Linked DNA regions of Mus musculus. The protein of the gene in region 1 interacts with the protein of each later gene in a pairwise test. Links are inferred from orthologs where the notes say so. Each region holds a gene or a part of one and is shown in the gene's direction. Other genes may lie near its edges.

The links. The genes of interacting proteins can lie anywhere in the genome.
Region 2: the proteins of Ms4a12 (region 1) and Mall interact in binary tests that used the Homo sapiens proteins (3 or more experiments, as listed by UniProt). The two-hybrid records come from large-scale screens. The link is inferred for Mus musculus from reciprocal best matches to the Homo sapiens genes MS4A12 and MALL.

What each region holds. Positions count from the first base shown.
Region 1 is NC_000085.6:11,229,653-11,233,711, reverse strand, and holds the start of Ms4a12 (membrane-spanning 4-domains subfamily A member 12), read left to right. Parts: upstream 1-1,258; 5' UTR 1,259-1,343; intron 1,344-3,163; 5' UTR 3,164-3,171; coding exon 3,172-3,432; intron 3,433-4,059. UniProt on the Homo sapiens protein: May be involved in signal transduction as a component of a multimeric receptor complex.
Region 2 is NC_000068.7:127,727,096-127,731,191, reverse strand, and holds the start of Mall (MAL-like protein), read left to right. Parts: upstream 1-1,294; 5' UTR 1,295-1,325; coding exon 1,326-1,436; intron 1,437-4,096.

The sequences.
Region 1 (4,059 bases):
AATCCAAAAGAGAAAGGAAACCACCATTAATACACAAAGATAATTTAAAAGCAAACTCTTTTAAAAAGTCCTACTCCTAGCCAGGAAGCTAGTCACGATTGATGCTGCTAGGAGAAGGGAAATATGTTTTCCTCAACCGAATGGCCCTTGGTATCTACCATACTCCAGGACAGGCCACATGTTCAGGAGTAGTTGACCTACTTGGACTCCACAGTTGGTTGGTTGGCTATCCATTTTTAGAGAGAGAAAGAACATGAAGTCGGGTGGTTGGGGAGGTGATGGGGACCTGAGAGGATTTGGGAAAGGAAAAAAAGAATAAAATATTCTTTTCCATATATATTATATGAGCATATATTGTATGAAATTCTCAAAGAATAAATAAAAACAATATTTTCAAAAACCATTCTTTCCTAACCATTCATGTGGTGGTGGTGGTGGTGGTGGTGGTGGTGGTAGTGGTGGTGGTGGTGGTAGTGGTGGTGGTAGTGGTGTGTGTGTGTGTGTGTGTGTGTGTGTGTGTGAAAAGAATTGACACTGATCCCACTTGCTCAATGGATCTCACCACATGTGAAACTTGACAGCCATGGGGCTTTTGAAGGCAAGAATATACATTGGATCTCTGTTCTTAGGACACTTGTTTGCACCTCTAAGACACAAATGAACATGAATAGTTAGACTGCCTCCAAAATTATAACATAACAGTATTGAGAATTATAAGGGTTGATTGACCTGTAAAGGTATTAATAAAATGGTAAGTTAAAAGGGTGTAGTATAGAAAACCTACACAATCTACCTTAATTTGGTGAGTCTTTACAACACCATGTACATCTGTATGTAACACGAATCCTGGCACACGAAAGTTTGCGAATCCTGATGAATTATCCTCAGTAGCAGTGTCCAGGTGTCCAGAGTGCAGGCACTTTTACTCCTCCTCTTTCTGTTCTTCATTGTCTGTGTTTTACAGTTGTACTTGTCTGGTTTAAAAGGCACTAGAACGTGGTGTGGCACTGCTTTAGTGAGGGTCAGAAAGCTAAGGGGCTGGAGAAAGGAACAAGAAGTGTCTGGAAGTGTCACTTCCCAGCATAAGTGAGTCAGAACACACTTCCCTGCATAAATACAAACTACAACGCATTCTCAAATTTACAAATGGGGTGAAAGTGCTTAATGAAAGGACTTTGGAACTATATAAAGATAGGATAGGCTCGCTTGAAGCAAGGAAGTAAAGGCACTTATAAATCCCAGATAAATATCCAAGATCAGAGCAGAACATATAGCTGAGAAAGAGAGAGCCCAGAGGTTCTGGGAAGCTGCATAGGTCCACTGAAACCACCCTGCCTTTCTCGGTGGGTATGGAACGGGGCTGATCTGTTTGGGTGGGTTTGCTGCCACATTCTACTCTCTGGGTGGGAGAGGTGAAGCCAATTCTTAAATCTGTATTGAGACAGTTGACGAATGAAAGAGAAACCCGGAGAGAAACAAGACAATTACTACTAAAGGCACTTCAAGCGAATCTATAGACACATACCCATGTGTGTAAATCTAATGCTAAGGATAGTGGATACACATGTATGAAATTCCATGAATAGTAACCGGCAAGCAGGAACCCTTGGTGACAGTGTCGTGATCGAGGGTCCACGCATAACAGAGACACTGAAACACACAGTTTCTGAATATGATTCACTAAAGAGGCTTCTTTATGGAAAATGAAGACTGGGAAATCACCCTTCACTGGGTCAGCATTTTTTAATATTTGCTGAAAGATGATATTTTCAGACATATGTCCTGCATGATTCGGTTGGAAGTGTCTATGAGTCACTGTGATGTTTCATTATATGCTATATAATACATTCTAAACAATAGTATCATTTTCCTTCTTTTCAAACAAAGGTGGAAAGGAGGTGGTAAGAAATTACAGTCATATTTTCCCATCTTTACTTGGATTAGTTCACCAGCTGGTTTTTCTCCTATTGCTATAGTCCTTATGCTTTATAATTCACCAGAACTTTGGTGTTTTTATTTATGTGTTTGTGTGCTTGAAAATGGTTGTTAGTTCTCATTTTTCAGAAAAAAGCTGGTTGTAAATAGCTTATCATTTGCTAAGAGAAAAAAATGTGCTAACTCCTTTAAAAAAAAAAAAGAAGAAGAAAAGAAAAGAAACAAAACTATGACAATAGACTCAGCACTGAGCTGACTGTCTTCCCTTTATGTGGATCCTCATTTTGACTGGAGGATCTGTTTGGGTCCTCATTTTGATTGAAGGATCAGTTTGGATCTTCATTTTGATTGGAGGATCACTTAATCCTGTTTCCCTGGCATCACTTCCACATCTACATACTAGGTCATTTTCATATGAACCAAAAAATGTAGAACTGGGTCATTTTCTAATCATTTTCTAAAACTTCAGCAGTTTGGGCACAAATCCATCCTGAGATGTGTTTTACAGAGTTAGGTATTAATAGTCTGTGTTCCATGTGAAACTTCCATGTTCAAAAACTAGATCACAGATAAGAAGTCTTAAAATTTCCCTAGCAAAGTTATCAGAGACAAAAAATACACACTGTGTGTGTGTGTGTGTGTGTGTGTGTGTGTGTGTGTGTCCCTCCCTCTCCTTCCCCTCTCATAGAACAATCATTTAATTCTATACTTTTTAAAGCCCAGGAAAATTCTTGTTCTGACTTTATACACCCATCTCCTGTCTCCTTGCTCTTGGCATTGACCTTTTGAAGTTCAACCCATTTCACCAAATGGACACGCATCCTCTATTTGAAATAAGATAATAAGAAATAAGATGGGTTCTAATAACACAATAGTCACTGCCATCACCAAGCTCTTGACCTATGCTGGGAACTCTTACAATGGCTTTATGAAAATTGTCATCATTCAACCTTTATTCTGGCCATTTGAATGGCAACATCTATCCTTTTACAGCATAGATACAGGCTAACAGAAATTTAATTGAGAAAGCTACTCAAGTGAAGTATCAAGTTGGAGACTAAAAATAGCTGGAGTAATATTTAGTCTTAGAAACTGCATCTATTTCTTGTCACTAGCCAGTATGTGCTCACTTGCTCTCTCTCCTATTTGCATAAAAATTGATGACAAGATGTCCTTTAATTTCTCTTCCTGGTAAATGTGTTATTTCTGTATGTTTTGTACTGCTTAGGTGACATAATGACATCTTCCCAGACTACCTACCCTGGAACGCGTGGCATTCCAAATCCTTGCCCACCAACAAGATCCATGGCTCCTCATCCTCCACAACCTCTGAATTTTTTAAACGTAAGAAACCAAGTACAGACTGGGCAAGTTTCCTTCATTACATCTCCAGGAATCTTCCCTAACACACAGCTGGGTCGAGAAAATGTGCCAACGGTAAATCCAGCTCTAGGAGCAGCAATAAGCAATGTTAAAGATGCAGCAATAGCACTTGGGGTAAGTGTATTTGCCACTAGGATTTTAATGTTGCATTTGCAAGGCTTTTATGCATCTGCCAGTTATAAATAGCATATCAACCAATGAGCAAACACATGTAAGGACTATTCTGTTAACTGTGTCTCTCTCAGAAAGAAATGGTCAATCTGTGTATGAGTCACCCTAGGTTCATTTATTTTAGATTCAGATACAAGTCTAAGAGTTGACAGAAGGCTCTCCCTAACAGGAAGATCCAGGAATGGTGACATGACTAGAGCCAATTACTTCTTGATTGGTCTCATTGCCTCTGAAAGTCTTTTTAGGAAACCTTACTTTTGTCTTGGATCAGTTATTAATCTACATTTCTATAAAGACAAATTAACTTTAAAACAATCATTGATAACTGTTTTAAAGGGAATGGCACTACTAGCAAACTGTCTGAGGAAAGCAAAGTGTAAAGTGTAAAAACTATCCTTGGAAATGCTATGTCTTTGTTGCTTTGATTTACAAAAGTTGATTTGAGCTGGACACCCATGGTCTTGTTTCTCTGAGCATTGTAAAGCACGAATGATTTGTAGTAAAGACTCAACATGCTTAGACAGAACTGACCATCGTTACTTAAGCTTTCCCCACACCTCTTCACACACT
Region 2 (4,096 bases), on another chromosome or scaffold:
TCCCTCAAGCCTGGTGGCTGGGCTCAATCCCTGGAACCTGTGTGTACCTCTTACCCTGCCCCATCTTCCCTGACGCCCCATGTAGATTATGGTCACATCCAAGGGGGCCACAGCCCCAAAGAGAGACATAGCACTTGTGTGTGACATTCAGAAAAGGTGGGTGGCTTTGGATCCATTCTGTCAGCAGTGTGGGGGCCTGAGCTTGTGAACTATACGCTCTAGGACTTGGAAAAGGTTGAGGACAGGCTGTCTGGAAGCTTGCTGGGAAGATCTTTGCCTTTCCCTGCAATGCCTTGGCTTCAAGCTTCATGTATCCAGACTCTGCTGGCTGCTCCAGACCAGGCAGAGCGAACCAGCTACTCCTCCCACCTTGCCCAGGACAGGCCCTGGAATTCCCTGCTGTTGCTAAGGAACAAGACACAGGGCTCTTGTGCAGGACATCCCCCAGTCCTTGGGACAACTCTTCCATGCCTCCTCTCCTACTCCTGAGGAGGCTTTTCAACTGGCCTGCTGGAGCCGAAGAGGGGAGGAAGAAGGCTCTGGGGCGCCAGGCCTTCCCTCAGGGCGGTGGGAAAACAAACCAAGGTTAGTGGGTTGTTAAAGAAGAAGGTGGCCCAGTCTCCAGCCCTGCCTGGCGTTGTGTGAAAGGAAGAGCTTTGGGTCTGGAAGCACAGCCAAGCAGCCAGCCCCAGGCTCTAAGCAGGAAGGAACTGCCTGGTCCCAACCCTGTGTCCTAGCTGGACTAGAACGACAGTGAGAGGAGGACCCAAGAGGGACTCAGAGTACCTGAGGAGGGAGGTGAAAACCAGGCTGCTCCAATCCTTCATTTAGACTCTGAGGACAAAAGCAGATGCTGCTTTTGTGACCACTCTGTGACCTTAACTGGAAAGGTACAACAAAGCCACGTGGTGGTGGTCTATCTGAACTTCAGAAGTGTCTGAAGGTGGCTAACCACACAGTAGGTCCTCAGTAAACAATCTTTATCTTAGCAAAAGAGCCCTTGCTTACACTCTGAGCATAGAGATCACCAGGAGCATACATACAAAGCTGTTCCTTTCATCTCTTCTGGAGTCCTTTGCTCCAGCATTCAAAGTTCCTTAGCAGGGAAAGTCTAGAAAGACCCTCTGCGAGGCTGGTCCTGTCCCCTCTCCTGGCTAGCACAGTGCACAGAAGGGCCCCCGCTCTACTGGAACCTTTCTTTTCCCCTCCCAGGCGACGTCCCTCCGACCGATGGGTGTGTCTGTCTGTCGGGCGGGAGGTGATTCTTGAACAGCTGCGGGCGCAGGCGAGTGCTACGGAGTAAAGACGCCAGCAGAGGTGACAGCATGGCCTCCCGGGACACACCGCCGGCCACCAGCTACGCCCCGCCTGACGTGCCCTCGGGGGTCGCCGCCTTGTTCCTCACCATCCCCTTTGCCTTCTTCCTACCGGAGCTGGTGAGTTGACTGCCCCCACCTGCGGGGAGGGAGGGGCAGACCCGGCAGGGAACCTCGCTGGCAGTTAACTTCAGGCTCCCTCTTTCCCTGTGGGTTTCCCAGGCTGGGTTCCTCTAGAGCAAGTTTTCCTCTTTCCCAAAGGATGAGGAGCTAATCCCCAGGCCACTTTCTTGCTGGAGGGGTCCAGCCACCTTCTAGACTATCCAGACCTCTAAGAAACTTCTACTGCCTGGTTTCTTTCCCCCTAGCTGTTTGTACTTTACTAAAGTTCAAAGAACTAGGGGTCTCTCTAAAGGGCCTTCTGAAAGAAGGTCTCCCAGTATTTTCTCAAATCACATCAGCTGACTTTGAACTTTGATTTACGTGTGTTCCCTGCCGAAGGGAGCTCATGACAGCATCGTCCATAAAACAATCTGAACCGCCCAGGTGACTCTGGGAAACTTGTTGCTGCCCGACTCTGGGACACGGCAGAGCAGAACTAGGCGCTGAACCCTGCCAGCACTCGGCAATGCATTCAGTATTTCCTCAGCTGGCTCCTGCTACTATCCACCTCCCCTACTCCCTGCCACGCCTCCTGTAATATCTAGTTTGTGGGTGAAATTTTCTTCCTAGCCCTGAATTTGACCATGCTGCCTCTGGGCGGGGAGGAAGACTTGGAGTAGGACAGGTTACATAAAATGGGTGTGGCCAACGCTTTCCCTTCTGGTCTTCATGGAAGGTTAGGTCCCATTGAGTGACCTTTAGGCAAATTGCTTAAACAACAGCCATTCTTGGGAAGCGTCCTTGTGGGTCCCACAGGTGGGTGGCCTTGATAGAGACTCCACCTAAGAGGCAGGTTTCTTCTAGCACCAGTCCCCCACAAACGTGGGCATCCAGCCAAGCTGATCAGATCCTGAGCTGTGTGCCAGGCCCTGGGTGTGGGCCTCACTTTGGAACAGTCGCATGGGTGACAGGATGGCTCTGCCACATTCTATTGAGCTTGCCAGTCACGCAAATCATCATCAGAGGAGTGGCTACCTCCCAGGGGTCTCTGTGGCTGGAGAGAGGTTTGGGGGCATTTTTTAGAATGCAGCACACTGTCCTGGCCAGAGGAGGGAGGGGTCTAGGCCTGTCACTCCCTGGAAGAAGGCTGGATTCCTGAGGCAGGAGAGCAGCCAGGTAGAGAGTTGTCACTAGAGGTGCTGACAGTTGTCCCCTGCAGTTGGATTCCTGGAAAAGTACTTTCATGGTGTCCTGGGACTTTGAGGGGATGAGGTCATTGTCATTGATTTGATTTTCTTGACTTATTTTTAAATAGTTTTAGATTTCTCCTAAAGCCATAGCGGCAGCATAGGAAGTCTGCTCCTCACTCGGAACCCCACAGGGCTCTCCAAACCAGGAAGTTAAAGTTAGCACTCTGCCATTGACCATTGTTGTTCTATTTGCTCATTTCCCCACTAATATCCTTTCCCTAGCCCAGGAGCCAGGTCAAAACTCCTGATTGTGTTGGCTGTCCTTTCCCCTTCAGTCAGGGGCGGTTCCTCTGCCTCCATCTTGGTATTTTGGAGAAAGCACTGGCCGGCCGGCTGTGACAGACCCTTGTTGCAGTTAGCCCTGTCTGTGTTTGCTCGCTGTAACTCTAGTTTTCATTTGGAAGTCATCTTCATTCATTGATGAAAACTTAGAAAATGCAGAATTGTGTTCACAGACGGAGCACATGCATCATCTGTGTGTGTGTGTGTGTGTGTGTGTGTGTGTGTGTGTGTGTGCATATGCAAGTGAGGGGGGGTCTGTGTGCATGGGTGAGTCTGTGTGTGAACATGTGTGTGAGTGTGTGTGTGAGTGTGTGTGTATGTATGAATGTATCTGAGTGTGTGTGTGTGTGTGTAAAATATCTGTATCTGAGTGTGTGTGTTGAGTGCATTATTCTGCACATGCTTCTTGTACCTGCTATGAGCATGCATAGAAGAACTCCAGGATAATGTGTGTGCCTGTATGGAGCATGGGAAAGGAAGGGAAAAGATCAGATTTTGATGTCATGGGCAGAAGAAGCTGGGAAGCTGTTCTGGGTGCTGAATCAGTTTGTCCCAGGCCCTTCTTTGGCTCTGCTGCTCTGATGTCTTCTCCCTCCACTGTCCACTGGGGCAGTGTAAAAGCACCATGCCTCCAGGGACCCCTGACCCTTAGCCCTCTGGTCTGAGACAAAAGTCTGTATAGAAGGCATTAGAAAGCAGGGAGACCAGGACACTTGTGCAGAGCACAGAAAGCAGAGCCCAAGTACTAGGATGCAGTGATTCTTCAGTAGGGTGACATAGACACATGGTGTCTACAGTGACCTCTCCTAACCACCATGTGTATGTGAGTGTGTGTGTGTGTGTGTGTGTGTGTGTGTGTGTGTGTACGCGCGTGTGTATGCATGTGTGGAGCACCACATGGAAACCAAGAGTGAGCAGATCCATTGTCAGATCACATCAGACAAGCTCTCCCTTGCTAGCCATGAGCCACCTTGGAGGTGGCTCTAGCTTTTGGTGGTTCTTGGAGATGACAGCAAAGGTGGTTCAGGCTCCCAGTAGCCTACTCCAGTGACCTTTGTTGCCCACAGTGCTTTCCCTCCCAATCTTCAGCATTAAAATTCACATTTAAAATGTTTTATTTTGTGATAGTGATGGTTCTAACAGGAG